Linked DNA regions of Oryctolagus cuniculus. The protein of the gene in region 6 interacts with the protein of the main gene of each other region in a pairwise test. Links are inferred from orthologs where the notes say so. Each region holds a gene or a part of one and is shown on either strand. Other genes may lie near its edges.

The links.
Region 1: the proteins of EXOC1 (region 6) and RESF1 interact in a two-hybrid assay, tested with the Homo sapiens proteins (2 studies listed by BioGRID and IntAct). The link is inferred for Oryctolagus cuniculus from reciprocal best matches to the Homo sapiens genes EXOC1 and RESF1.
Region 2: the proteins of EXOC1 (region 6) and CCSER2 interact in a two-hybrid assay, tested with the Homo sapiens proteins (2 studies listed by BioGRID and IntAct). The link is inferred for Oryctolagus cuniculus from reciprocal best matches to the Homo sapiens genes EXOC1 and CCSER2.
Region 3: the proteins of EXOC1 (region 6) and SPTAN1 interact in a two-hybrid assay, tested with the Homo sapiens proteins (2 studies listed by BioGRID and IntAct). The link is inferred for Oryctolagus cuniculus from reciprocal best matches to the Homo sapiens genes EXOC1 and SPTAN1.
Region 4: the proteins of EXOC1 (region 6) and SFR1 interact in a two-hybrid assay, tested with the Homo sapiens proteins (2 studies listed by BioGRID and IntAct). The link is inferred for Oryctolagus cuniculus from reciprocal best matches to the Homo sapiens genes EXOC1 and SFR1.
Region 5: the proteins of EXOC1 (region 6) and CDC5L interact in a two-hybrid assay, tested with the Homo sapiens proteins (2 studies listed by BioGRID and IntAct). The link is inferred for Oryctolagus cuniculus from reciprocal best matches to the Homo sapiens genes EXOC1 and CDC5L.
Region 7: the proteins of EXOC1 (region 6) and TRAF3IP1 interact in a two-hybrid assay, tested with the Homo sapiens proteins (2 studies listed by BioGRID and IntAct). The link is inferred for Oryctolagus cuniculus from reciprocal best matches to the Homo sapiens genes EXOC1 and TRAF3IP1.

Annotation. Positions count from the first base shown.
Region 1 is NC_091440.1:128,140,550-128,144,943, forward strand, and holds the start of RESF1 (retroelement silencing factor 1), read left to right. Parts: upstream 1-1,499; 5' UTR 1,500-1,650; intron 1,651-2,661; 5' UTR 2,662-2,752; intron 2,753-4,394. UniProt on the Homo sapiens protein: Plays a role in the regulation of imprinted gene expression, regulates repressive epigenetic modifications associated with SETDB1.
Region 2 is NC_091446.1:74,659,881-74,664,259, reverse strand, and holds the start of CCSER2 (serine-rich coiled-coil domain-containing protein 2), read right to left. Parts: upstream 2,845-4,379; 5' UTR 2,611-2,844; intron 1,932-2,610; 5' UTR 1,814-1,931; intron 1-1,813. UniProt on the Homo sapiens protein: Microtubule-binding protein which might play a role in microtubule bundling.
Region 3 is NC_091432.1:231,818,496-231,822,600, forward strand, and holds the start of SPTAN1 (spectrin alpha chain, non-erythrocytic 1), read left to right. Parts: upstream 1-1,217; 5' UTR 1,218-1,369; intron 1,370-4,105. UniProt on the Homo sapiens protein: Fodrin, which seems to be involved in secretion, interacts with calmodulin in a calcium-dependent manner and is thus candidate for the calcium-dependent movement of the cytoskeleton at the membrane.
Region 4 is NC_091446.1:25,895,580-25,899,747, forward strand, and holds the start of SFR1 (swi5-dependent recombination DNA repair protein 1 homolog), read right to left. Parts: upstream 2,803-4,168; 5' UTR 2,025-2,802; coding exon 1,937-2,024; intron 1,931-1,936; exon of another isoform or gene 1,473-1,930; coding exon of another isoform or gene 1,442-1,472; intron 1,274-1,441; coding exon 1,152-1,273; intron 614-1,151; coding exon 203-613; intron 1-202. UniProt on the Homo sapiens protein: Component of the SWI5-SFR1 complex, a complex required for double-strand break repair via homologous recombination. Acts as a transcriptional modulator for ESR1.
Region 5 is NC_091436.1:125,737,741-125,741,870, forward strand, and holds the start of CDC5L (cell division cycle 5-like protein), read right to left. Parts: upstream 2,896-4,130; 5' UTR 2,558-2,895; coding exon 2,513-2,557; intron 1-2,512.
Region 6 is NC_091439.1:108,641,388-108,645,668, forward strand, and holds the start of EXOC1 (exocyst complex component 1), read right to left. Parts: upstream 2,895-4,281; 5' UTR 2,755-2,894; intron 2,605-2,754; exon of another isoform or gene 2,570-2,604; intron 1-2,569.
Region 7 is NC_091434.1:2,077,765-2,081,361, forward strand, and holds part of TRAF3IP1 (TRAF3-interacting protein 1), read right to left. Parts: intron 1,558-3,597; coding exon 1,486-1,557; intron 849-1,485; coding exon 773-848; intron 1-772.

The DNA.
Region 1 (4,394 bases), on a different chromosome or scaffold from region 6:
TACTGTCGCTCCCCCTCTTCGCGGAAGAACGACACAGGACCCTGCGCTGTTCTTTCGTCTGCTCGGCCCTCCCCGGGTTTGCTGCTGGTTCTTCCCGGGTTGGCTGCTGGTTCTTCCCGGGTTGGCTACCGTCCCTTCCACCTCCGTGGAAGGGCGGTGCCCCCTGCCACTTTCCCCACTTCCGCGGGGGAGCGGCACACCGCCCGCCCGGCTCTCTCGGGGGCTTCTCAGGTGTTCCTCTTAGATGTTCCTGGTGCATCTTGTCTCTCTCCTCCTTTATAGTCCTCTTCCACCAATCCCAACTCTGCTACCCACATGCCGAGCACGCTGCTCTCCTCCAATCAGGAGCAGGTCCTACTGTTTATTGGTTGAACTGGAGGCAGCTGTGTAAAAGTTGTTTTTACTCCTCTCCCAGCGCCATATTGTGGGAGAGCAGATGCGTAGAATAAGTCTTAATTCGAGTAACTTAGTCTAGTCCGAGTTGCTCCCCACAGGCTACAAGTAATTTCCAACTCAGAGCTAAGCTTTTTGAAAAGAAACCGTGTTTTTACTTCTCCCACTGCTGTTCATGCAAACTGAATTCAGTGTGTTGCTTGACTGGATTATATGATTGATCCATTGGTTTACCATTGGATTAAGAACTTGACATTTGCCTCAGTTACTCACGGACACCCCCAGTTTCCTTGGGTTTCTTAGGCCCTGTGACTTCCTGGAGTTGATTTGACTGGGATGATCAATAAGGCATGAGATTGTGGAGAGACACAAACTGTGACTTGGGTGACCAAGTAAGTTTCTCTATCAGGACCGGGCACGTGAGCAGGAAGCTGGAATCTGGAGTGGAGCCGGGACTCGACCCAGGTTCGTGATGTAAGGACAGAAAAGCGGGACAACGAGGAGACAGAACAAGGACTCACAGCTAGAATAGGTTTATTCAGAGACAGACCAGAGAGGGGCTCCCTCCTGGTGAGCGTGCAACAGAGAGCCACCTGGGAACACACAGCAGGGAGGGAGTGGGCCCGCACAGACTGGTGGCTTATATAGCTTAGTGGATGGGACGGCTTGGGAGGAGCTTGGCTGGGCTGGGCTTCTGAGATAGTGGCTAGAGCTTGGGCTGGAGGCAGCTCCCTCGAGAGGGGTGTGGCTGGTGAGGGTCTTAGAGTGGGGGGAGCTGGGGCTAATGGCTGGACCCTTAAGATGGGGTTTGGCCGACGGTCCTAGCAGGGCAGGGCTGAGTGAGCTGAAGGGGACCGCAGGGAATTGGGGTACTGCTGCCAAGCGCGCAGGTGACAGGCGAAAATAGCTCTAAGGCTTTTGTTTCTGACCGCTGTGCCAAAATTCTGATGCAAATAAGAAGCGAGAGGCTCTTCACGTGGCTCAGCAGCTTTCACCGGAGCCCAGGGAAAGTGCTCTGCAGGGCCAGCGGCGCGGGCCCGGGGCCCTGAGCGCGGCATCTGGGCGGCACTAGGACCGGGAGCGGGGCCGCCCCGCGCCGCACGCCCGGGGCGGGGCTCAGCTGTGCGGGAAGCCGGGGCCGGGCTGCCCGGCCCGCCCCTGGAGGCGGACCCCACTTGACTTAAACTCCGGGGCCGGGAGGCGGCCGCGTTCCCCTGCCTGCCTGCCTGCCGGCCGGGGCTGTCCTCCGCGTCCGCGGTAAGTGGGCGGCCGGGTACCGCGCGGAGCCTCGCTCGCCTCCCGGGGACGGCCAGGCGGGGCGCCGCGGGCCGGGGCCGGGCGCGCTGGCAGCCGCGGGCTTTTGTTCTGCGGCGCGGAGCGAGCGGCGGCCGCGGGCAGCTCCAGGCCCGGCCCCCAGCCCTCCGCGCCCTCGGGCCGCCGCCCGCCGCGGTCGCTGCCCGTCGGGGACGCAGGGGCGGCGGGGCCGGAGAGGACACCGAGCCCCGGGCGCGGGGCGGGGCCCGGGCGGGCGCACGCGGTGTCGCGTCGCGGCGGACCGCTCTCTGTCGCTGGAGTGGAAGAGTGGGGAGAAGAAAAAAGGACCAAAAAACCCCCCACACCTTTGTTTTCCTTTCTGTGTGTCCCCGCCCCTGTGCAGCCGAACCCGGGGCGCGGGCGCTCGGCTCGCGCGTGCAGGCGACCGTGGGCGCGCCCGTGCGGAGGAGCCGGGGTCCCCGTGCGCGAGTTCGCGCCTCGGGCAGCTGGGGCGGCGTCCCGCGGGATGCGCGCTCCCCGGGGACTCGCTCGGTGGGCCTCGAGCGCCTGCCTGCAGGAGGGAAAGCAGGTGATGTGAGTCTGCTCGCCGCACGAGCCGCTCGGCAGCTGCGGGTTTCTGCAGAGCGTGTTGACTCTCAATCAGGATGGAGTTGCACTGAGTGACGTTCCTCCCTGCCCCCTCCAGCCCCGGTAGTCGCGTTCCCTTTCATTAATGCCAAAGGAACATCGCTGAGATGGGACGTTTCTGCTCCGAACTGAGGGAACCCGGAGAAGTGTATGCATTGTAACCTAAGGGAATGGCGTTTTGAGCCCAGATCTGGCTTCTGTCCCGTTCTAGCACCCTTAAGAATGCAGTGTGTTTACTGTGCTTTCAGGGCAACCTTAAGGGACACAGCTGCACAGTCATGTGTCATGTCAGGCAAACGCGTTAGCTAGCGGGTCCTGCCACTCATCACACAGTGATTTTTTTTTTTTTTTTTTTGCTCTCCCTAGAACCAAAGAAGTGTAGATACTGTGTGCACTTAGACTGGCACGTTTGCAGGGCAATGGAAACAAGCTTACTAGAGAAGAGTTCTAGTTGAAGGTAAGTGTGATTTAATCCCCTGACCCTTCCCTTTCAGCGAGTAATTTATCTGTTGTGGAATAAAATGATTAACTCCAGATCAACACCGGTTGAAAATTAACCACAGGACACAATGGGGGTGGTGTTACAGCTGCAGAAGGAACGGGGTAGTTGGTGTGGTGCTGAGGATCCAGCCCTTCATCGCGGCCCCAGAAGGAAGGGGTTGCTGGGGCGGTGGAGTGAGTGGTGGGGGAACCAGTCCTGTGCAGGCCGAGTGATGGTCTCTGGGCATCCACCCTGCAACCCCTTGCTGTGCCACCTTGGGAAGATTGGCCCCTAACTGTGTTCTCATCTGTAAGAGAACAGTAGCACCTACCTCATGGGATTACTGAGACAAGGCACGTGGGTTTCATACACAGAACACGCTTAGAACAGGTCCTGGCACGTAGTAAATGCTCTGTCCATCTTCACTGTCCTCATCATGGGCAGTGTCCCGCCATCTGACAAGCTTACACTATCTTGCAGGAAATTCAGTGCACTCATTTTTACCAGATTCTTGAGCTGTGTGTTGATTAAGCAATCACTGTAGATCCTGCGGGGTCTTTTTATTGGAGGGGGAGGTGGTCCTTCTGTTAGGAAACACCAATCACTTGTTGGCCACAGAAGGTTTTGCCTGCAGCCCTGTTGGAAGCACAGAGTGCCCGCCTTGTGTTCTGTGGAGGTTGGCTTTTTCTGGTTACTTTCTGGATTATCAGCGGTTTATTTCAGGAGCTCTTGCTTAGGGAACTGATCTAGTCCTGTTTCTTTAAAGGTAAATTTCAAGAATCTTTGTTTTGTCTAACCAGGCCAGCTCCCCACCCCCAACTATTCAAGAAGACACAGAAAGCATTCGGTTTGAGATAAAGGAAGAGTCTCTGACCAGCCCTGGCCATAGAAATGCAAGTTAAAGTTTCAGTGAAGAATCCTTGAAAGGAGGAGGAAGTAGTCTAAGGAACCTTGAGAAATTCCAAGAGCATTGTTGTGGGCGGCCCTGCCCTAAGTACTTGCAAATGCTGGGCGCTGGGGGAGGCTGGCCTGCAGAGGCTAGTGTGTCAGTGAGACCAGAACCACGCTTTTGCTGCTCTGTTCGAAGCCTCCCAGAATCTGATGACAACTTAGATTCTCCTGGGATGGATCGGATTACAAGGCTTCATTTATAAATAAACTCTTGTGGTTAAAATTGCAAAGTGTGTTTAAAGAAATTGTATTGTCCAATTAAGTGTTAAGAAACAAAGTATAGTCAGATGGTGTGTGCGTTTTTTTTTTTTTTGGGGGGGGGGGTAAGCCCCAAGGGAGAATTTATTAGGTTACGTAATTTTGAAGTTGTGAATGGAACCAGAATGTGAATCTGAAAGTCTTAAAGACTTTGAACAGAACAGTATCTGTGGCCTCTGCAGAGATGTCAGTAGATCCCACAGCCCTCCCTCCACTGGGCGGTACTGCCCTCTCCAGATGTGTATCTAATCAGCTGCAGGCAGCCTGGAGCAGGGCAAACAGCCGCCGGCTCCACTCTCCACTCTGTGCTTGAGGGTATCTGTGCTCTAACAGGGATGTGCTGAATTTTTTTTTTAAAAAGACTGAGAGATTTCATACAGCATGCATTCATCCAGTATACACTCAGGGT
Region 2 (4,379 bases), on a different chromosome or scaffold from region 6:
TGCGTAGAGTCAAAATGTTTTATAATTGAATGAAATAATCAATTCTTTCAAGTCTAGTAGATTCCTTTTCCAACACACACTCAAGTTTCTCATTACCCCACTCAGATTATAAAACAATTAAGATTCACAATTAGGAAACTGGGGCAAAACTGAAATACAAAGATAATCAGAAGATGTGGACTGTACTTAGCTCTGTACTTTTCTATCTACCAGATCTCCAGCAAATTACTGCCCCTCAGGGTAGCACGGTGGTGTAGTAACTTAGGCCTCCACGTGCGAAGCCAGCCGGCTTCCCATATGGGTGCCAGTTCACATCCCGGCTGCTCCACTTCTGATCCAGCTCCCTGTTAATGGCCTGGGAAAGCAATGGGGGATGGCCCAAGTGCTTGGGCCCCTGTAATCACATGGAAGACCCTGAGGAAGTTCCTGGCTCCTGGCTTCAGATCAGCCCAGCTCTGGCCATTGTGGTCATTTAGGGAGTAAAACCAGCGGATGGAAGACCTCTCTGCCTCTCCTTTATTCTGTAACTCTGCCTCTCAAATAAATAAATAAATATTAAATTAAAAAAAAAAAAAAGGCTGTTACATGCCAGGCCCATTAACAAAAAAAAAGTTACTGTCCCTCAAAGCCCTGGGACCAATGCAGCAGCATCATTACTGGCCAAGCCCCGTTTTACCCCTGCATCATAAAATGGGTTGTTTCTTCCTGTCCTCAGATTTCATTCCTAACCAGCAACAATCTTTACTTCTAGTGCCCTGTGCAATCATCTTTTGTAGGTTTTCCCATATTGAAAGTCAGTCTAACACATTTCACCTATCTTACAGCTGCATTCACAAAAACGCATTCAGTCCACTTCCTGAGCACTTGTGCCACACAACAGTATGCGCTGGAGCTGCAAAGGTGCCTTTCCTAAGAAGCCCAAGAACCTGCTGGAGACAGAGACATAGAAAAAACACTACCAACCAACAGACAGTGTATTATTGGATCGGTCGATAAAGAAGGATGAGATGTCTGGACAAGACGCAGGTAATATTTTGGTAAGGTGTTGAAGGGCAAGTTGTTTGCAAGGCAAAGAAGAATTCTCAACAGAGGGAGCAGTGCAAAACCACAAAGGAAGATGTCATCTTCTACAAACCGCAAGGAGTCCTGCACGGTGAGTGAGGGCAGGCAAACCAGAAGGTGGACCAAGCACCAGAAACTGAGAATAAAGACAACGGGAAACCACTGAAGGATTTCCAGTCATGAAATCACACTCCTGTTCTTCCTCCATACGTCAAAGGAGCTGGGTCAAGGCAACAAACGCAGGTCTGGCATAATGTTTAAAAACATTTAATGGAGATTTCCTGCCCTGAGGATGGCTTCTAGCACTTTCTTGGTACGGCATGTTAATACAAGACTGAAGGAAAACAGTATGAATTATGGCTAAAGGGTTCAATCAAGTGTGTATTTTTAGCCTAAAGATTATTTTAAGTTAGTGTTGTTGAGAACAGAAAATAGTAAAGTGATTTAATAAATGAAGGTAAGCAAGCAGTAATAAAACTGAGACTGACTTCAAGCAAAACATTCAGGAATGTTGACATCCTTATCCTGATCAGATAAGATGTTTTGCACCTATTATTTGCAAAAGAAAGATCTTAAATCCCTTTGCTTAAGGAGCTTCTATCTCCACTCTACTAACTAGTCTACTAGATGATATTTTTATTTTTTTTTAAATGACCAAATAGGTTCTATCAATAATTAGTTCAAGGCCAGGAGAAGAGGGATGCCTTTTCGAACGCCTGGATTTAAAAGCCTGAGGCTCCGTGTCTCTCACCTATAGGAGTGAAACACCAGCATTTCAATCTGGGGCCACGAAGAAGAGTCCGTGCATCAGTAATTTCCACACTGCGAAGGCCTAGTCTGGGGACAGCAAGCCTAATTGGCTGGGCAGCCTACAAAGATGAATTTGCAATTATTGAGACTGGAACTCAAGCCGACCACCTCAAAGAAGTCATTCCTGCTTTCACTTTGTCAAAAAAAAAAGTGGGTGCATTAAAAAAATGTATAAAAATAACATGTTTTAGGAGGAGAGAGAGAAAAACATCTGAACCTACAAGGGACGGTGGGATTTCCGCGCCTCTCCCCACCCCACCACGGCCCAAGTTTTATCTCCGATTAGATTTTAGGGTGCTTAGGGTGTGTCTTTGTTTTGGCCCATTTATTAACTGTTGTTAATAAATATCCGCTCATTCGGGGAACGCCGGTACTTTCCCCATTAACCCTCCCAAGCATCCTGGCTCTTGAAATCACCGGTCTCCGAGCCTTTCGCCGCGATTTCCCCGTAGAGCAAGGCGGCAGCCCCAGCTGCCCGAGGCCCGGGGCGCTGCCACAGCCCCGCGGGCCGGGGGGCGTCGGCCTCCCGGGTCCACGCCCGCCGGCCTCGAACGCTTCGCAGGGGGCTCGGCAGGGTCGCGCGGCAGAGCTGGAGGCCGCAGGGCGCCACCGCTTGCCCCCGGACGCCCGGGCCTCTACCGCCACCGCAGATCGGACCGCGCCCCCACAGTCCCCAGGCAGCCTCCGGCGCCCGCCCTGACCCCGGCCCCTACTCCAGCACTGACCCCGGCCACTCACCGTGCGGGGATCGTGCTGCCTCCTCAGCTGCGGGTCGCCCAGCGACCTGTGGGCCCGAGGACGGAAGGTGAGACGAGAGGCCGCCCGTCACATCGCCGCCGATCCCGCCGGCCGAGCCGCAGCACCCAGCATCGCGTCCGCGGCCTGAGGGAGCGCCGGACCCCAGAGCCACCGCGCCCCCTCCCTCGGCCTGCGCCCGCCTGGACTCCGCCCTCCAGGGCCCGCGCACCGCGCGCGCGCAGCCCCGCCCCCTCGAGAGACGCTGCGCACGCGCCAGCCCCAGGGCTCTAGGCCCCGCCTTCGGGCCCGCCCCTGCAGCCCAGCTCTGGCCTCGGCCCACCTGTGGCCCCGCCCCGCCCGCTCGCCAGCCTCTCCCAGGCTCCGCCCCCCACCTCAGGCCCCGCCCCGCTCCGCTGACCTTGCCTTTCTGCCCCCTGACTCAGGTCTTTGCTCGGCCCAACCCCCGCCGCCTACCCTGGCTGGTGCTGACCACACCTGTGGGAAGCTGCTCGGACGAACATTTGATGCTCGACCGCGGTGAAACCTGTCAGCTCGTGCGTCCTCCAGGCTCCGGAAAGTCAGGAGCGGTCTGAGCCCTGGGACTGACCGAGGCCGCTCAAGTGCCCCTGCCCGAACCACGCACGCAGCCTGCCGCCCCAACACCCTGGTTCCGGCTGAGGCTGAGGGAAAAGGGGCCTCAGCCCTGAGTGCTGACATTCAGAACCACGCAGTACCTCCGCGCGCCTGGGTTCCTTGTGCCAGGAACCGGCTCCCCTTTGGGGTTTCCATTCCCCCAAAGGCCACCCCTTCTCCTCCTCCCTTCCTCAGTGGCCGGACTTGATTTTGAGAGCTCTCTTGCTTGGAAACCTTATGCATCAGGGTGGCAGTTAGAGCCCTGGAAGCGCCTTCGTTTGTCGGCCCCAGCAGCTTGCTGCAATGAATAACATTTAAGGGGAATGTGTTGGAAAAATACCCACTTCTAACATGTCTCCACATGGGTTGTACATGTGGAGGTTGTACGTGGCCGGGGGATTTATAAACCCACATTTCATATAATAATATACTCATATATTTAGAAAAAAGCCTGACATTTTCTAGATCGACCTCTGTATGTAAAGACTGAATTTTTGGATAATAATATGTGTGCTTAATATGAGAAAAAAAAAGTAGGTCTAAAAGGCTCCACACTTTCAGGATTAAGTGAGATCGCTGCAAAAGCAAACGCCAGACAGAACTTGAGCGCATCCTTTAGATCAGCACTGGAGAGAGGCATTACTAAAATGCGTTTTGGGGTTTATGCCGTCTGCTGGATGGAGAGATGGTAAAGAAACGACTCCCCACAGCCTGTCCGCGGAGCTAAGGAAGGTGCTGCGTTCCCAGTAGCCTCCAGAGGAAGTGGGAAAGAAACATCAGCAGGAAGAGCTTTGCATCTCTGAACTGCTGGGTTGTCTCCGATGACTCCCTAAGTACTTGGCCTGTCATGTGAGCTCTCTGCAGTAGGCAAGTTCGAAGTCACCTTCTCTTCCTGCTCTACAAAGGTAGGCGGCTTCCTGGGTGCTTGTAGGAGTAGCCCCAGCTTCATCTAATTTTCTCTATGTCTATTTTGCCTTGGTCCCAATTTCCTCATTCCCTTGGTTGTCATTATGTCACATTGATTCTACTTCTGTTAGCCACTACTTTCTCTTTTCTTTTTTTTTTTTAAGGTTTATTTTATTTATTGGAAAGACAGAGTTACAGAGAGACAGAGAGAGAGAGATCTTCCATCCACT
Region 3 (4,105 bases), on a different chromosome or scaffold from region 6:
TTTTTTTCATGCAGAAGATTGCAGGGAATGTCTCGCAGCTCCTGCGTCTAGCTGCGTCTGGGGTGTGGCCGTGTCTCAGCTATGGAGCAGGCACAGAGGAGCTGCCCACCCATCACCCAGCCGGGGCGGACCGCAGAGGCCCGGCCCGGTTCTGCTGCAGAGCCCAGCACCTCGACGCTTCTTCCAAGAGGGCTGCTCCTTCCTGGGCCTGACTGCACGGGCATGAGCTGGGGTCGTCCCCCGGGGCAGCCCCCCAGCTGCCCCCGCGCCAGGGCAGGGACCCCAGCCCGCAGACGGCTAGGGCAGTGAGCCCCAGAGATTGGGGGACGCGCCTATCCTGTCCCTCCTCAGCCGCTGGGAGGCAGGGTCCACACCGCCGAGCCCGCGTCTGCGGACCCGAGCCCCCAGGTCACGCTGGCCCCGGAGGGGGCAGTACCCGCCCTGGGGAGCGAGCCGGGGGATGGGAGCCCTCTGCCTCTCCCTCTCTGTCGCTCCGCCTTTCAAATAAACGTGATTTTTTAAAGACTATCTACCTCATAAAATAACTGCAACGGCTAGAAAAATAAAACCAGAATCTTAGCCTGGTGCCTGGCACACAAGCAAAGCTCAATTCGTTGCAGGGGAAGAAGCGTCAAGCCCAGGTACGCGACGGACGCGAGCCGTGAGGAGCCATCAGGCCCCCGAATCCGTCGGCTTCGTTTTTCCCGGTCTGGATCTGGCCTCCGCCTCTGCCCACCCCCTCCAGCCCCCGGGACCCCCAAACCACGCTCCCCTTCGCGACGCCCCCGGCCTCCGCCCCGGGAGGAAGCGGGGCTCGGGTGACCTCAGCATCCCCGGCCACACTGCGGCAGCCGCCCGCGCCCCGCCCTTCGCCGCAGTCCCGCAAGGGCTCCCGGGGGCACGGGGCGCGGTGCAGATGCTCCGCCGGGCCGGATTGGAGGACGCGGGCTGCGGCGAGGGCGCCGCCCGGCCCGCCGGGGCGGGGGCGGCGGCTCCACTGCGCCACCGCCCCCGCCCCCCGCGCGCGCCCCAGTTCCCCATCCCCCAGGGACCCGCCCCCGCTCGCCCCGTCTCCCCCACCCCGCCCCCCGCATCGCCGCTTCGGCTGCTTCCGGGAGCGCTCGGCCCTCTCCGCCGGCCGCTCGGGCGGCGAGCCGGCGGGAGCTCCGCCCCCTCGCGCCGCGCAGGGCGCTTCCCCCGCGCTCGCGCCCGCCCGCCGCGGGAGCGCGCGTTTCCGCCTATAAAAGGGGCGGGGCACGCGCGTCGTCGCCACTACCGGACCGGAGGCCGCGGAGCCGCTTGGGTCCCTCAGCGCCTCAGCAGCCGTCAGCGCGCCGCGCCCACGCCCCTCGCCCCCGACCAGGAGCCGGTGAGAAGGGCCGCGGGGACGCTCGGGGCGGGAGCGGGGCCCCGGGCGGCCGACCCCGGGGCGGGGGCCGCGCAGCCCCCGGGCGGGGCGGGGCGGCGCGCGGACAGGTGAGCCGGGCCGGCCTCGCCGCTCGCTCCGGCCGCCGCCTTTGCGGCGCGCGTGGGCCGAGCCCGGGCGCCGGCGCTGGAATGTCACGGCCGGGGGGAGGGGGCGCGCTGGGCCCCTCCCCGCCCTCGCCCTGCGCCCGGCCGCGGCCCGGCGCTGCCCCATCCGGCCTCGGCAGGTAGCTGGGGGCTCCCTGGTCCGGGTCCGGCCACCGCCTCCTTGCGGGGCGCCCCCACCGCACCCCACCGCATCGCCCCGACCCCTTTCCTGGCTGGGGAGCGGCTTGAGCGGATCCCCACCAGCAGTGCCAGCCCAACCCTCGAGGGAGGCAGGGCCCGCGGCCCGGGGCTCTCCGACCTCGGTTTTATCCTTCTTGGCAATTCTGGACCCTGTCTGGGCGAGGGCGAGGTGGCGGCCTCCTCTTTCCCTGTAATGGACATTTCCCTCCCCAGTTGGGATTCGCTGGCAAATAATGGGGAGATGTTGCACTGGCTTGGTTTGAGACCCGAATCAAATAATAGGTTACAGGCCGCCCCCTCCCCTTTCATTTTTTTCTGAGACGGAGTCTTTCAGGGGGGGAGGGCAGAATATTAATTTGTTAAAAACCCTACGACCAGGCTAGCGCGGAATGACAGAGCAGTCTTTTGTTTGAAAACCATCCTGCGAGTTCGCTAAGACGCTTCCCAAAGAAAATTGCTTTTCAAAGCCTCGTGTATGGGAATAAAATGTATTTTAGATATGGGGCTTGTCAAAGGTGGGAGATGAATACGTTTCTGCTTTATTTCTGAGAAGTCTGCACAGCCCAGAAAGCTGGGGCGGGGCGATGGGCGCGCTGCTGCAGACCTCTGATCTCTTATATAATAGACCCTAAAATACTCAGTCCCTTTGTTCTGGCTTCATCATGGAATTTCAGAAAAACTTGCCATCATGGCTGTCAGGAAGAATAGAGGGAGACCATCTGAAGTATTTCCATGTGTTGAGAAATTGCGTCGTCATAGCAATTGGACTCAAGTGAGACAGAACGCATCGAAGATGGAAGAGGGGGTGCCGCAGCCAGGCGACGCGGACCTGAAGACTGGCGGCCAACGCTGGGCTGTGCGGAGCCCCCAGCCGGGCTTCCCGCTTCTGGAACCGGGCTTAATTCCCTTTCCTGACAGCCGATGTCTTCCATGTTGAAAACTCACCTCGAAGTCAAAGTTTAAAAGACGTGCGGCAGGGTGAAAAAAAAAATGCCGCCCGCCACCAGGGCCTCTGTATAGGAAATGAACAGCAAGCCTTTACTAGTAACTGGGCTGGGAATTCCCCAGAGGGACCCTCGAAGTGTGTCACCTGCTCTCCAGGGACCCACGCATTTGCTGTGGACTAGACAGGGGAAGCAGTCCTGGGGGTAGGCTGGGGCCTGGTAACTGGCTCCCTGATAGGCTTTTGGTCTTGGCAGTGTGTTTCCTCGGAATCTAGTAATTGGAGGAATCTGATATGTTGCAGGCTGCGATCTGACGGGGAGGCGGAGGTGGGGTGAGCGGTTGAAGTGGATCCTTCGGTTCCCTGGGTTAGGATTCTCCTTCCTTGCCTTCGTCCCGGGGTGGGGTTGGCTGCAGATCCCGAGGGAGAAGTCCTCAGGAATAGTCCCCGTCCTGTGGCTGCTGGACCTGCACGTAGGGCAGCGGGCCCCAGGGCGCCTGCCTTTACAGTCAGTCTTCTGTGGCCGTGGGAGGCCTCCAGCAGTCACGCAGCCGGGTTTGCGTCTGCCCATCAGCTGTGGCCGAGCAGTGGAAGAATGCGGCGCCCTGGTGGCCCTGCTGACTCCAGGAATGTGTTGGAGGACCCAGACCGCATAGCTGATCACTTGAGCCACTTGACTGGAGCAGCTGGGCCGTGAACCGTCCCCTCCCTTCCACCTGCTTTGCATATTCCTCCTGCACCAGTTTTGAACAGGAAATAGTATTTTGTCAAAGGCGTGTGCCAGCCAGGCCCAAGGCAGTGCGCTGCGGCTCCAGTCCTTAGTTTCTGATGATTTCATGAAATCAATGAAGGGATTTAGGAATCCAGTCCTGGGGTTCTCAATTAATTTATCAGAATGTGGGTCAAGGGGAGGGCATGTTTAGTTTTAAAAGTTTATTCACAAAAGAATAAAAAATATATCAATTCACGCCTGTCAGGCTTCCTCCACCCGACAATAAACCTTGCCTCTAAAAAGTATGTTCAGTATTATTACTCTGACAAGTGAGAGAACAGGCTCAAAAGAGGGAACGACTTGGCTACAGTAACACATTTATTTATTTATTTTGGATATTTATTACTTATTTGAAAGGCAGAATTAGAGGCAGAGGCAGAGAGAAAGTCGTCTTCCATTTGCTGGTTCACTCCCCAAATGGCTGCAACGGCTGGAGCTGTGCCGATCTGGAGCCAGGAGCTTCTTCCAGGTTTCTCACATGGGTGCAGGGGCCCAGGGACTTGGGCCTTCCGCTGCTTTCTCAGGCCATAGCAGAGAGCTGGATCAGGAGTGGGACTTGAACCAGCGCCCGTATGGGATGCCAGCACTGCAGGCAGCAGCTTTGCCTGCTACACCACAGCCGGCCCCAGCACATTTAGATAGAAAATGAAGTGCCGAGACCTAGAGCCTTGGTTCCC
Region 4 (4,168 bases), on a different chromosome or scaffold from region 6:
GTCCTTGGACCCCTGCACCCACGTGGGAGACCCCAAGGAAGCTCCTGGCTCCTGGTTTCGGATTGGCGCAGCTCTGGCCGTTGCGGACATCTGGGGAGTGAACCAGCAATGGCAGACCTTTCTCTCTCTGTCTCTACCTCTCTGTAACTCTTTCAAATAAATAAAATAAATCTTAAAAAAAATTGTTAAAAATTCCTCTTACCTTCGATCTATACATTTTGACTAATTTTAGCCTCCGAAGAAGGTCCTCTTTTTCCTGAACCTGCTTCACCAATTTTGCTCTTTCTTCCTTCAGTCCTTGTATAGGAAGATTCTCCTTCATGAAGTCATTTTGGAGAACACTGCATGACCCTGTATCAAGTGAGGTAGCTTCACATGCACTGACGTTCTGGAATGTATTTTTCAAATGCGTACTTTCTTCAAGTTCACTGTCTATGCGTTTAAAACTTTCTTGAAATTCCAAACAGTTTTCTTCTGTGGCAGAGGGTGGCTTCTCTGACAAGTTCTGATCATTTTCTTCATTGTCAACTTTAAGACGTTTTACCACACTGTAACAGGAATTAAATGAAAATCTTGTTTTCCTTAATCTTTCTCTAAGTGTTGCACTCATAGGCTGAAAGGAGAACAAAATATTAAAAATGTTAACCAAGTCTTCATGTAAAGAAATGTGCTAGAAATAAAAGCCTTACATTTCTATAGTAGACACCACTAGGGGGCTTTCTGTCTCCACATATCTAAAGTAACCATCACAAAATGTCTTTAATTTCCAGAAGTTCCATTAATTTTCCTCTCTACCTCAGCCAGGTCAACACCCTTCTAAAGTCATCCCAATAATCAAACTTCTCTCAGCATCTAGCCCATACCTCCTGCTACACCAGATGCTATAGGATAGCAGACTGAGGAAAGACCCACTGCCACCAAAGTCCTTCACCGTGATAATACCGCAGATCCAGACTTCCTCACTTTGGAGTGTTGCAATAATCTAATCCGAAACTAAATGAATTGGCTCAGTATGCAAATCTGGAAGGGGCTGGTCACACACTGTATCTTAGAAGAAACTAAATGACTATTTAACAAAATATCTGCACGTTAATGAACAATCTTTGGAGTTAAACCCCGCCGATACTTAAGACTGAATAAGATCTCCGTACTTGTTTTCCTGAGCTCCTTGCAAGGGAAGATGGCGGATTCGCACAGGCCTGTGGGGTGCTAGGTGCAATCACCGCTGAGTCTGATGGGCTTTCCATCTTGAAAATGAAATCTTGGGTTACCTCTAGAACCAGAAAAAGTAATTATGAAATGGGACTCAAAATAACCATACCTTTCTAAAGTCCTCCATTTTTATCCAAGTATTTCTTTATTGGGCCAGCAGTTTTTTGTTTTTTGTTTTTTCTTCTAATTTGTTAGTTAATTCTCGCTATTTTTGGAGTTTTTCACTTACCTTCCCACACAAGGACAACTAGTTTTTTCATGACAAATTAACCTACTAGTATCTCATAGAAACGAGACTTGTTAGCCATGAAGTATCTTCCAAGTCTCCATTACGGGGGCAAGGGAGAATAACAACTTTAGATAGTGATTCTTTCGTTGTGACAGCTTCATAATTAAGAGACATGGCCTAAGTGGGCTCAAAAGGCATAATCGGACCTGAACTTGTCAATCATCCCGAACCCTAAAAGCCGCTTGACTAGAACCAGGCGTTAAGAAACAAGAAAATATAAAGAAAAAAAAAAATCACGCCTGTCTGCACTTTCAGAGTAAAAGCGAACAGACACTGAAGAGGGAAGTCGACTGAAGCTGTCCCTTCCAACTCGGTGGGGTAGAACCAGAGAGGCGGCCACTCCCCTTTCCCCCATGCAGGGAGCCCGCCGGCCCTCCAGACACCCCAGGCCTGAGGGAGGGTCGAGGGCCCCCGACTGCGGAAAGGAACCTCTACCTGGCTTTTCAGCAAGCCCCCGAAGCCCAGCACTCAGACACCCCCCTGGGCCGAAGCACGCTACCGCCCTCCGCCAACCCCACAGCATTCAAACACCGCGCGGAGCCGCGGCCGTCAGCCGATGCAGCTCCAAGGGGCGGGGCCGCACGGGAGCGGAAGAGACTCCTGATTGGCTAGATTGATGCGCGCGAATCCGCGTGTCCGGAGACCCCTAGAGCGCGCGACCGCGAGCTTCCGCCAGGGAAGGTCATGTGGCGGGGCGGGGCCGAGTCGCGTGATTGGCAAGGTTGACGGGAACGCGCTGCCTCGCCCCGCCCGGCGTCCGGTCTGGCTCCGGAGTCGGGCTGAGAGCTTCGGGAGTAACTCATGGATCCTGAGGGGGCGCGCTGGCGTCCGCGGCGGCCCTTCCCGCTTCCTTGTTTCTGTGCGTCTGTGAAGTGCGCTCGCTTGTGTCCCCAGCTTCCGTTCTCCAGGCTCCAGCCCGTCTGGTCTGCGCTCACCTCAGCAAAGACTGTTTTCAGACGTGGCGGGGCCGAACGCCGCCCGGCTGGCTAGGAACTCAAGTCACAACTCTCAAGACCACGGAAGAGCAGCGTTGGGTTCCAGCCCTTGGGGAACAGGCTTGAGAGAAATCGACCCAGGGGTGCCGACACAGTCGGCCGAGCGGATCCCTAGCCCTCTGCTGCCACAAACTCGGTTTTCCAAGTTTTTTTAAATTCAAATATGAAGGGAGAGGAAGGCCAGCGCCACTTGTGGCGCAGTACAGGAAGCGCAATGCCCTATCCAGAACTCCGACGCTTCAGACAGAAGTGGCCGCGGCCGAGCGCAGGCCGAAAACCCCCTCGGCTTCCGGTGTGGCGCGGCTGTTGCTAGGCAACGGCGCCCGCCGCTCCGGGTGGGGCAGCCGAGCCGGCGCGGCGCTGAGCGACTTCTGACTCACGTGGAATCCGGGAAGTGTCCGGGCGGTGCGCTCAGTCCTCTTACGGAAGGGCCGTTGTAAACGGTGACACCGTCTCAACGACGTGATAAAAATGGCCCGGAAATAGCCAAAAGGAAATTTGAATCCTAAGCAAGCCAAGTATAAATAAAGAGCCCAAAGACAATCTAATGCAGTGATTAGCGGACGTAACCGCCCAAGTCACATTGTCGAACTCCACATCCCGGCGCTGTATTCTGTGTGCTTTCTACTGTGGTGTCCGTGTGCCTCGGTTTCCTGATCTGAAAATCGGGACAATTCCTGCCTCCTAGAGACTGGAGGATTAAATGGGAGCTCAGGAGAGGCAGCCACAGCAGTGCCAGGTAACTAAGAAGCGCTCACTGTTCTTTCATACGTGCAAATGCATTAATTAACCATCCCCAAACTGATTTAAAGGACTGCGTTACGTGAACTTTCATCCCTTTACTTAACTCTGCCCCCCAAAACAGAGATTTAAAAAATAAAGATGCCGTGATCTGTAAGATCCCACACGATTTAAACCATAAGTAGAAAACTTGCACATATAATTTATAGTATGTTATACCTCTAAATTTTTCAAAAATTATATAAATAGGGGCTGGTACTGTGGCGTATGGGTAAAGCCGCTGTCTGCAATGCCGGCATCCCATATGGGCACTGGTTCGAGTCCCGGACACTCCACTGCAGATCCAGCTGTCTGCTGTGGCCTGGAAAAGCAGTGGAAGATGGCCCAAGTCCTTGGGCCCCTGCACCACTTGGGAGACCTGGAAGGAGCTCCTGGCTCCTGGCTTCCGACCGGTGCAGCTCTGACCATTGCAGCCAATTGGCAATTGGGGAGTGAACCAGCAGATGGAAGAACTCGCTCTCGCCCTCTCTCTCTCTCTGCTTCTCCTTCTCTCTCTAACTCTTTCAAATAAATAAAAATCTTTAAAAATTATATAAATGTACAAAGTGAAAGCAAGAACTCATGCTGTTGTGATACAGTTATTCATCCCCCCAAGCTACAGGTCTCAAGTCTGTGCAATTATTTCTCCCTTCACTTATCCACTGGCACCAATTAGTCTCACTGCAAAACAGAACAGAATGATTTGTCCTGACACTGGCAGCACAATGCAGACTCTGCATGTTCTCTATTCCTCGAGGCATAAGGGTGAGTTGTTTTTATGAGTCCCTAAAACCAGCTGCTTTTATCATTACAACCTAACCGAGGGCTGTGTTTTTGCTGGCTGCATAAAGCAAAACAACAGCTTGCCTTGCAGATGTTCTGACTTGCTTTG
Region 5 (4,130 bases), on a different chromosome or scaffold from region 6:
TATGATCATTTCAAGAATGAACCAGTGAATGGAAGATCTCTGTCACTCCACTTTTCAGACATAAGTGGCCAGCATTGTGGTATAGCAGATTAAGCCTCTATTTGCAATGCTGGAATCTTGTATCTTGGAGCATCAGTTCAGGTCCCACCTGCTCCACTTCTAATCCAGCACCCTGCTAAATGTGCCTCAGAAGGCAGTGCAAGACAGCCCCAGTGCTTGGGCCCCTGCCACCCACATGGGAGACCTAGATGGAGTTCCTGGCTCCTGGCCTAGCGTGAACCAGCAAATGGAAGATCTCTTCTCCCTGCCACCTCCCTACCCCCATCGCTCTTTCAAACAAATAAAAAATAAATCTTTTAAAAAAATAAATATTTCAAATGTACTTAAGAAATAAGAATTTTTAAACACACAAAAAACCTCACTGACCATAATGATAAACAGTAAGCAACCAGCAAAATGCAAGAAATTAAGAAATTCCTTAGGACATCTTACTGTTCCTTATAAACACACACCCAATTGTGTGTGGGAACAACCACCTCTGAGCAACCCTACTTTCGGACAGAGATTAACAAAAAGTATTCTCCAATATGTGGCTGTCATTCTTCAAGCAGGCACAGCTCATTCATTTACACCTTCACTCAGAAAACACTTCCTGAACACTTGCCTTGCACCAGGTCTTGTATACTTGGGGAGAGAATCGAATAGGACACATCCAGGCCTCAAAAAGCAAGTTGGGACTCAGATGAAACCACTCTCCAATTCACACTTCCTGCCTCCAGTTCAAGCACGGCCTTTCCTCCCCAGCCCCATCCGCCCCACCACGACCCAAGAATCCACATCTCAGATTAGACCATATCTCAGTTCTAACCTGAGATTCAAATATTTCTCTCCACAACCCCTCCCAAGTCATCTCTCTCCAGTCTCCCCCAGACTCTAGATACTATTTCACCAGGGCTGCCACCCAAACACGGAATGTACCAATCCCAGAGCAGCCTGGCAAGCCAAGCCACTGGCGCGGAGGACGATGGAGCCAGATGTGAATGCACTTGAGACATTTCACTTGCAGGCTCTGTTCCACAGCCAACTGTAGAAATCTGTCAGCAGATTTGACCGTAGCACAGGAATCCTGCTACTACTTGATTTTTTCACGGGTCTCTCCCTCACAAGTCAACTCCTCTCCATTCAAACAGCCTAGTTCCCTCAGCACAAGGGAGGGGACTTGCACTGCCTTCATCTGTCACGTGGTGCTGCACCTCTAATACTTAGATCACAGCTACGTCCCGCGTACCCGCCGAGATGCATTCCACAAACATCTGCCAAGCAACCTACTACTTCACGCTGGTTACTCTCCTGTGCTCCAGGAAGAGCAGGACCTGTTCCCCTCCCCTCCCCCAGTGCTGTCTGGAGAGGTAAGAGGTGCCTAGCACTGGCTGAAAGGCTACTGTGTTCCCGACTGTTCCAAATGTCCCAAATGTGGCAGCTCACTTAATCCCCACAGAAACATGAGGAATCTAAGGCTTGGAGAAATGGAGAAACCTGCCAGCATCACTCCCAAGGATGTGACACTGGCAAAAGTCAAAGCAAGCCGACAACAAGTGGATGACAGGCACCGTGGGCCCACAGGGGGGTGCTACCAACGCTCACAGGCTGAACAGGCGAAGATTTGGCCGCCAAGGGCTTCTGAACCAGGTCAGGAGGATGCCAAGCGGGTCGAGGATACCGCAAGGAGGCACAGAGGTAATAAAAGACACGAGATAAGCCGTGCTCAGAAACTGATCGATCCAGGGCACTCGACACGAAACGCACTCAAATCTCATTTCTGTCTTGCTCCCTTTCTACTGCTCTCCGGCTCTCAGATGGCACGATCCACTACGACACTACCCGCAGCAGTCTGTCCTATCTGGCTTCAAGCCATGCCAAGGCGGAGAGACGGGAAGCTAAGAGAGAGACAGGCCTTGGCATCTGTCGGGAGAGCGCGCACAGGCTGTGCCTGGCTGACGGATAAACCGACGGATGCAGGAGAAACGGGCGCCGAGAACTCGGTATGCAAGCTGCTTCCCCTCTCTGCAAGAAGTCAGCGAAGAAACAAAGTTGTGGCTGCACCAAGTTCTTTAGTTTTGGGGTGCCAGAGACAGCCGCGAGCTGAGGGGGGGTAGCGTCCCGGAAGATCACCTCTCCTGGATGTCCCACCCCTCCTGCCACCCAGTGGGGACCTCGGGGAAAGGGGGCCGGGGCGGCGCGGCCTCGACTCAACAAATGTTCGCTAAGGGCCTAACAAGTGCCTGACGGTGAGCTCGGAGCCGAGCCGCCGGTCCTTGGGGCGCTCCCGTCACCCCTGGCGGGGAACAGCGCTGAGGCGCCGAGGGTCGTCGGCCCTGGCGCTGCGCGGCCCGGCCCACCCCACGCAGACCCCGCAGGGCATCCTCGTCCGCTCCCCGGCCCCCGCGCGCGCGCGTGCGCACAAGCTGCCGGAGGGGGCGGAGGGCAGCGGACGGCGGGAAAAGAGACTCACCTCGGTATTTCTCCACACGCCGCCCTTGATCATAATTCGAGGCATCTTGGCGACAGGTGGTCTCGGCAAGCGGCCGAGAGGAGCTTCAGAAAAGTAGTAACGGCGCTCCGGTCACGGGACCCAAAGCCGCCACTTCCTCCAAGCGCGACCTTCTGCTTTGAAGAGATCTGCGCAGGCGCAAGGAGGTGGCGGGGGGGGCGGTGGCAGAATAGCAAGTCTCGCGATATCTCGGGAGGCTGAAAGGTTAGAAGTGCTTTCTCAAAGCTCTAGTGTACAGACTGACAGAAAACCATCAAACTGCTGTGGCCGTAGCGCCGTGCGCCGCGCGCATGTCCAAGTCAGGCTGGAGGAAGCCATGGCTCTCGCGAGACATCCGCAGCGGCGGCCGGCCCGGCGTCGCGGTGGGGTTGGTCATCGTGACGTCACTCGGCGGTGGGGGTGCAGACGGGTTGTGTGTGGCCTTGCAGAGTAGCCGGTCCGGAGAAAGCGTCGCGAACTAGCGCTTTATTGAGCGTTTCGCTAGTCGAGTACGCAGGAGGAAGAGAACAGCTTATCTGCGGCTCAGTTTCCCAACCTGTAATACAGAGTAGTAATAATAGCCCCCACCCAGTGGGGTTCTGCTAAGAAGTGAGGTCCTCAGCGGAGTGCAGGGTCTGACAGACGACTGTTCCCAAAAAGCGCCGCTGCGATTCCAAGGAGGGCAGCGCCTCCACCTGCCCCCGGGGAGGGGCGCAGCGGCTGTCCCGGAAGCCCCCACCGATGTCCCCTCAGCGTCTTTCATCCATCGCCATTCAGTCTGTGTGAATTAATAACAAAGACCATTATGGGCGCTGGTATTAAGGGAGCCGGACTCGAGTTGGGCCGGAATCTTGGCTGTCTCGTCAGCGTGGGTAATACCCGTGCTGAATCTCAGAGTGCTCGTCTGAAAAGTGGAGCCAGCAACACCGGCTTCAGCAATCGGAGGGGCAGGATTAGCTGTGACAAACCAAAACCTAACCTTGGATAAGGGTTGTCCAGCTCTCCGCCACCCCACTTCCGAGTTACTCAGACATCTTTCCCATTTCAGAACATCGCTTTGACGCCAGTCCTAGGAAATATGAAAATATTTAGTTAATGGATGAGGAAAGTCCTGGGTCTTTATATAGTGCCTTGCTCTTTAGGTTTTTTCATTTCTCCATTTGCGTCTTCTGGAAAAACTACAGAATGTTCTGATAATTTTTTTATCTTGAAATGGGAACTTTTTAGGTGTTTTTAATAATGCTGATGTCATTTGTTGGCATAAAAATTATTCAGATACAACAGGATATTTTTAAGATTTTTTTTAAATTTATTTTTTGAGAGGTAGCTTTACAGACAGAGAGGGCAAGAGAGGTCTTCCATCCACTGGTTCACTCCCCAAATGGCTGCAATGGTGGGAGCTGGGCCGATCAGAAAGCAGGAGCCAGGAGCTTCTTCCGGGTCTTCCACGCGGGTGCAGGGACCCATCTTCTATTGCTTTCCCAGGCCATAGCAGAGAGCTGGACTGGAAGAGGAGCAGCAGGGACAAGAACCAGAGCCCATATGTGATGCTGGCACCACAGGCAGAGGCTTAGCCTACTATGCCACAGCACCAGCCCCA
Region 6 (4,281 bases):
TCTGTTAATGGGTATGGTGTTGCTTTCCGGGTGATAAGATGTCCTTGAATTAGACAGCAGTGATCGTTCAAAGAGTACAATCTTGTGAATACACTAAAGGACACAGAATTATATATTTGAAAAGGCTGAATTTTATGATATGCAAATTATCTCAATAAAGCTGTAACAAAAGTAGGCTGCCACTTATTTCCCTTTTCTCACATAAATCGGTGTCTTTTTCAAATGTCAATTTAAACTATTTTTTAAAAACGTCTCAATTTCATTTTTCAAGCATAAGGGACATGTTTGTATGGCTATATATCAGTATTTTCCAATGCAAATGTGAGCTTGCCTCGGACATTAATTTCTGCTAGTAACACCATTTTTTATGGGAAAATGAAGAAACTGTGAGTTTTATATATACGATTTATAACGCCTTTTTATAACACGACCCCAGAATGCCATCTTTGCATTTCTGTTCCTCTTTCAGCTCATCTCAGCCTCAGGTCTCCTCACTCTCCCACCCTCCCTCCCATTATTCTTGTCTATCTGGCCCCCAAGCCAGGCTACAGGCAATGTTCATCTCCCAGTACCCACACTATCCTCTTTCTTATTTTACCCTCTTGGTAGACTGGCTATCCTATTTTATCAAGAAACCTTGAAAAACCTACATGTTTTTCCTCTACTTCTCTTGAGCTATAAGATTCTATGTTTCAAAGCCATATACCCACGTGCATTGCATTCGTTTCTAACAGATCCAGCTAAAACTGGACTTTGAAGGCAGCTCAGCAATTCTTTAATACATTTATTGCATCACTACTGTTTACAAATCCTTATTATCGTCTTTCAGCCTGCAACCGTATTGTCAGCCTCCTCCCTCTCTGCATAGGACTTCACTGCCTACTCTGCAGAAAAGAGAAGCCACGAGGTACAATTCTCCCCAATTCTTCCTCTTCCATCTCTCTAACCATTCACCCATCCCACTCAAAACGCAGCATCCATGCTGCCGATCCCTTCGTACATTCCAAGGCCTAGACACTGTTAAAGGGGCTACTCCACTCTCCGCCCCGGTCTACTTTTCTATCTCTGGGCTTCCGTTCACGCAATTTCCTTTTCCTGGAATTCCCTCTCCCCAGAGATTGCAACTCACTCCTTAGGATCCTGCTAGAGTGTCACCTCTTCCGGGAAGCAGTGTTTCCCGAAGCATACTTCCCTTTCTAGGTCTCCAACATCCCCCCACCCTGCACACAGCGCGCTTCGGATCGTCTTTTCTGACTGCTGGTATCAGCCTCTCCCATCAGAAACAGTTTCTGGTTGGCAAGGACCGTTTCTCATTCACCTTTGTATTCCTAGAACTTTTGGCAAAAGGCACCCAGCAGGCATTTAATAACTAACACGAGAGCACCAAATAACCAGCAGCTTTAGCTTCCTCAAGACCCCCCCGCCTTCGTTCAGCAAATGTCGTGTTCAGAACGTCCTGAGTCCTTCCTCCATGGTCAACAAGAAACCTGCTGCCACATTCTGGGGCTTCCCCCCATCTACAGGTACATTCCTTCCTTTATGTCCCCGCCATGCACACAGGAACCCAGGCCCACACCCACTTCTACCTGTTCAACAGCACAGCATCTGGGTATCTCTTTGCAAGCACCCACAACCCTGAATAACAACCATATAACTGGGGGGGGGGGTAGATCTCATCACACCACACCCTTGTTCAGCATTTTCCTAATACAAAGCATCCACTTGGAAGCACTCTGTTCATTTTGGGCTCTAAACCTCTGCTTCGGCACTTCCCCATGCGGGAAACATCATCTCCTCCCTACCCAAACCCTAACACCACCACACGGTTTACATGACGCTCATTCAATGGTGATTTGAATCCGGACTCATCTCGCCGTGCACCTGCTGCACGGACTAAACCACTGAGCATTGGCGGGGATCAGCAGCTCCTGGCTCTCCAACCCTCTTAGAGAGAGACACGCTCAACTAGATGTGAGTACTAAGCAGGTACTTAACACCTCTCGAGGGAACCTGAAGAGGAAAAACCGGTCCAAAGAACCACTCACAGCGGCCAAAGTCACCCTCCCGGCAACAGCTAGGGCTGAGCACCGGGCACATGAGGCGGCTGGACATCACTCGGCACTTACTGATGCCTACCCAGGGCCAGGCTGTTCTGGGCCCCAGCGGCGGCTCCCGTCACGCAGGTGCGCGCTCAGGGGGCCAGTCCTTGGAGCGCTTTTCTGTAAGCCACTCAACAACAGGTCCGCCCTGTCCCGGCCCGGGGACCCGCGGCTGCTACGCTCCAGAGGCAGCCCGCCACTGCCTAACTGCGTGTCGCTCTTGTTTTTTAAACCCGCTGGGACCCTCTCGGCGCGCTGGCCGACAGCCGGTGACCCTAAAGGCGCGTGTGGGTTGGGACGTTTCGGGCACGGAGCACGGTCATCCACAGGAGACCGTGCACGGAAACAGGGGAATGCATTTAACAGACTCGGGGTGGGGGGAGTGGACTTGGCCAGCGGAAGGGCGGTGTCACGCCCTCCTCCGCGGGGCGACGCCGTGGACAGCGCGAGCACCGCCGGTCTGCACAAACCTGGCCGCGAGGGGCGGGGCCGCAGCGGGACGAGCGAGCGCCGCCCTCCCCGCTCCGCAGCCTGCGGGACCCGGGGAGCGGGGCCTGACCGCCGAGTGGGCGGCGGCTGCCCGTCCGCTCTCGGGTCCGGCGCCGCCGCCGCCGCCGCCGCCGGGCCTGCTGGGCAGCCGCGGCCAGAGGCTTACCGCAAGGCCGGACCGAGCCCAGCTGTGCCGCGGCGGGTCCTCCCAGACGGAAGCGGGGTGCGGCCGCTGCGACCACCGCTCCCAGGCTGTGCCCCTCAATTAACCGGTGAACGGGAAGCGGCCGCTCCTCACCGCTTCCCATATCCGGGCACGTGACCCGTTCTGCGCCGGAAGTGGATGTCTAGAGGCGGAAAGAGAAGTGGCGGGATCCAAGGAGCGACCGGGGAACGCCGGCCGGGGGCGGGGCCTCGCCGGAGGGGCTGGGCGGGGCCTCGCCGGAGGGCGGGGCGGGGCGGGGCTTCTGCCCCACGGGGACTGACATCTGCTGCCCTGCGTTTAACAACCCTACACGAGCTGTTTATTCTGATATTCACAACAATTCGCTTAAAAAGCAACCCGACTGGTTTCTTTATATGTAAAACTGTTGACTGTAGACCCTTGCTGCTTACATCTTGGAGATTTAAATGAGTTAAATCATAAACTCGGGGTTGGGATCCAGACACAGTACTTCGCACTTGATCTTTGCCAAAAGGCAATAATACTTTGAATATCTTCCTAGATGTGTCTAATACGCCACTGACGTTAAGAACCATCATGCTTGTGACCTCGATACTCCAAGTGTGGTCCACGGAGCAGCTACCAGGGCATCGTTCGGGGGCTCATTTCAGATCTACTCGAGCAGAATCTGCAGTTGGGATGATGCTTACGACATATAAGACTGAGGGTCAGGGATGATGCTAGTGTTGCTGGCTGGGAATCAGGAAATTGAATTATTCCATTTTTTGATTCATTTATTCTTTTGAAAGAGTTATGGGGACAGAGAGACAGAGACAGAGAGTGAGGTCTTCCAACCGTTGATCAGTCTCCAAATGGCTGCAATGTCCAGCTTGGCCGATCCAAAGCCAGGAGCCAGGAGCTTCATTTGGGTCTCCCTTGGGGGTTCAGGGGCCCAAGGACTTGGGCCATCTTCCACTGCTTTCCCAGGCCATTAGCAGGGAGCTGGATGGGAAGTGGAGCAGCTGGGACTTGAAGCTGCATGCCGGCACCGTAGACGGCAGCTTTACCAGCTACACCACAGCACCGGCCCCTAGTCCATATTCTTGACTCCAGGTGCAGAGGTGGTTTAGACATGAATCCTGTTCTGAAAGAGTTCACAATGTGGCAGGACCAGACAAAGAGGAATGTGAACAAGGGAGTCACTCCCTGTGCTGGGGCTGGAGTCGCCGAGGAAGCCAGGACAGAGATGGGCTAAATGTATTTCAGTATTTGTTTACAATGTACCTGAATGCTTTTCTCTTTGATCAGATTGATTCCCTCTTAAGAGTAGGATCGAGGCCGATCTAAGAAGTCCTTCCTGCTTGGTACAGAACACCATTGTGAACATTCCATAGGATAATTACATGTGATTTTTGGTCCTGTTCATTATCTTCTGTTTACCTGTGTCCCCAAAGTTAGCAAATAACTGAATTTCATAGGTCTAGACTCCCTCCCCAAGTTCCAGACTTATTTCCACTGTCTCGCCACCGT
Region 7 (3,597 bases), on a different chromosome or scaffold from region 6:
ACAGGCGAGCAAATGCGCAACTTCCCCAGTGATTAAATTTTCCATGTTTCCTCTCTGGAGGAGGCGCGAGGCAGAGGGACAGCCGGTGGCTGCAAGCTCCCAGGCCCGCCCTGGGCCCCACAGGGCAGGGGCTTCTGGCACACGCACGGTGAGCTCAGCACGCGTGTTTCACGACAGCGACCACAGGGAGGGAGAGGAGGACTTTCCAGAAGCCACCACCACTCAAACATCACTCACGTCGGCCTCCACACCAGCGGCTCCACAGCGCGGCCCGCACCTGCCCGCCGCGCTCAGGCCGTGTCTGCAGCCTCTCTCGTCCGCTGGCCCGAGCGGCTCCCGGCAGACCCCGGGCAGGGCGCCCCGCCGTGCTTTCTGTTTTCGGTGCAGAAACATCATCTGCCTACCAGCTCCCACATCAGCCTGCCCTGATGGACCACAGCCTGCCGCTGCCGCTGCCGCAGATGGGGGCCAAGGAACCCCGCACGGCTCACCGGTGTTTCTGGACCATGAACCTGGATCCCACCCTCTCCAATCACCCACGTTTCCAGCAAAGAGGGCTGACTCCGCCCCAGTGTTGTGAGCATGCACATGTGTGCACACGCATGCACGTGCGTGTGAATCACAAACCCCATGCTTCCCACGGTCACTGCTTCTTCCCAGACGTGGCCGATGCGCGCCCCAGCCATGGGAGTTTCTTCCAGCTAGACTGTTGACAGAGGCAGGGCTAGACATATTTCTAGCTTCTCACACGAGTAGAGCAAGTCAAGCGTACCTTCCACTGAATTTCTGGATTGCCGTTTCGACAGCTTTGATGTCAACGACTTGGGTGCTCGAGTGGAAACCTCAGTCTTAAAGAAAAGAGAACGAAAGAAAATCAACGGATGGTTACACAGTGAGCCCAGAGCTTCTTCAGGCTCTGCTCGGGGAAGCAGCAGCCTGAAACACAGCCCCGGTGCCCCCCGGCCTCCGACGGTGCAGGGAGGCACTGGAGGCCGAGCGGGACCCCTCCCTGCGCTCTCTCTGCAGAGCCCTCAGCCCTGCTCCCAGAGGCCCCAGCACCACACCCTGCAGGCGCAGGAGCACTTCGCCTCACAGGGACACGGCGCCAGAGCCAGGCGGTGTGCTGGTGTGAACATCGCGGAGGGGACTTCCCCAAACCACGACGGCACAATAACCTCACAGGGCCACTGCGGGATATGCAGTCTGTCCCTGGGCAAATCGCGTTAAAGGGTCCCGTGGCTGTTACACTGGTGAAATGCATCTGCAAACAGCTCTCACAGGAAGAGTTCACACACCATGCTTCAACAGCCCAATTCAGAGAAAATAGCAGTCACCCAGGAGTGCCGGCAGATAATCGGCCTTCTGTTTTGGCAGCCGGTGACCCCCACGCCATTACCAGGACAACACAGAGAAGTGGACCTGCCAGCACACAGCACTCCCCTCACCACAACCCCCCCTTTCCCCTTGCTGTCCTTGAACGTCTACCTCTGTTTCGGCTTTGGGGTCTTTCGAAGATGCGTCTGACAACTTTTTAGATATTTCCCCGGAGCTTGTTGACTACAAAACAAAATCACATTTTAGAATTATTCACATCTGTAACATCTGAAAATGCCTCAAGGCTTTTTTTGTTTTCTTTTTTGAAAGGCAGAGGTACAGAGAGAGAGGAAGAGATGGATTCGTGCACTCCCAAAGTGGCCACAACAGCCAGGGCCAGGCCAGGAGCTTCTTCCCGGTCTCCCACGCAGGTGCAGGGGCCCAAGCACTTGGGCATCTTCCGCTGCTTTCCCAGGCCACAGCAGGGAGCTGGATCAAAAGAGCAGCCGCTGGGACATGAACCGGCACCCACATTGGATGCCGGCATCGCAGGCAGTGGCTTTACCTGCTGTGCCGCAGCGCCGGCCTCGCTCACTGGCCCACAGCAAGGGCATTCCTCCCTTCCTCCCACAGAGCATCTCATCACTGCTCCAGCTCTGACACGCTGCTGCTGCCGCTGCGACCCAGGGCCCTCCAGAGGGCAGATTTCATCCCAGACAGGCAGAGCAGGTGGGCAAGGACCAAAACACTCCCGCCTCCCGGGAGACCATCTGGAACACAAAACTCCACGTGGGGCCAAACTCATTGGGAACACACCCCGGTGAAATACGGGGATGGAGGTGAGGCGTGCAGTGCACAGCACACCCAACACCCCCAGGAAAACTGTTCCTGTGTTCACAGGGCCAGTTAGGATGGAGCGGCCCCTCCCGTCCTGTGCTCACAGAGCCAGTTAGGATGGAGCGGCCCCTCCCGTCCTGTGCTCACAGGGAAACATCAGGTCATGTGCTGGGATTGGCTGATTCTTTTTACGCAAACACTTCAGACGTTAGGTCAGGAAAACACTCTCATACATACGTGGAATCCATCAATACCAACTCACACCTTAGACCAAGTCTCTAAGAAAACATCCCGGGGCTGGTGCTGTGGTGTAGCAGTTAAGGCTGGCATCTGAGAAGCCAGCATCCTTTATGGGTGCCAACTCGAGTCTGATCCAACGGCCTGGGAAAGCAGCAGAAGATGCCCCAAGTGCTTGGGCCCTCGCCACCCACATGGGAGACCCAGAAGAAGCTCCTGGCTCCTGGCTTTGGCCTGGGCCAGTCCTGGCCATTGTGGCCATCTGGGGAGTGAACCAGCAGATGCAAGATCTCTTGATCTCTCTCCCAGTCTCTCTCTCTCAGTCTCACTCTCACTGTCTTTCTCTCCCTCTCTCTGTAACTCTGAGTTTCAAATAAATGAATAAAATCCTCTAAAAATAAAATCATGATTATAAACAGAACATATTATCAACAAAATTTTCCTCCGTAAAGACTACAAAGCAAAGAACACCTATTCAATCTCTCAATAATGAAACATCCCTGTAAGTTAAAGATGAGCACACAAGATTGTATCAGCAGGATTACCCGCTGTAGGTCGGGCACCACGCACCTGTTCCCAGATCTCTGACACCTTCGGCTGCTCTGTCAAGGGTGGGGACGTGCAGATGGGCTCCGTGCCACCCGCTACCCCACCACTCCACCTCCTCAGAACAGCTCCTCCTCCTCTCTTCCAGACAGGGAGGTGGACATAGCAGAGTGCGGGTCAGAACTTGGTCTGCTGCCTCCCCAGGCGGGACCTGACCTGACGCGACACTCGCACTGGGGCCCGGGGAGGGTCTCGCAGCCCCTCACACCTGCACAGTGCTCGCTCTGTGCTGCGACGATGCTGCCACTTCAGACGCACAGCTGTGCAGGGCCCCAGCCGGAGTCACCAGGAGACAGAAACCGGACTTCTGTGCTGACGGGGAAACAGTCACTCTGCCACGTCCCAAATATTTTCAAACAAAACCATCCCTCCTACGCAGTCTAACACATCCCCAGACACCAGCCAGTAAGACGTTCTCCTTGGACCCTCCTCTTAACTAGAACACAAGTCCCAGCCTCGGCAACTTCAGTGAAGGTGAAGGTAGCACGGAGCCCGGCCAGCAGGCCCAGAGCCCATCGGGGCTGTCAGTCAGCATCTCGGGGCTCTCAGGAGAGGCGAAAGCCGGGAGTCTCTGTGACGTCCAGAACTCACCCGCAGAGCAGG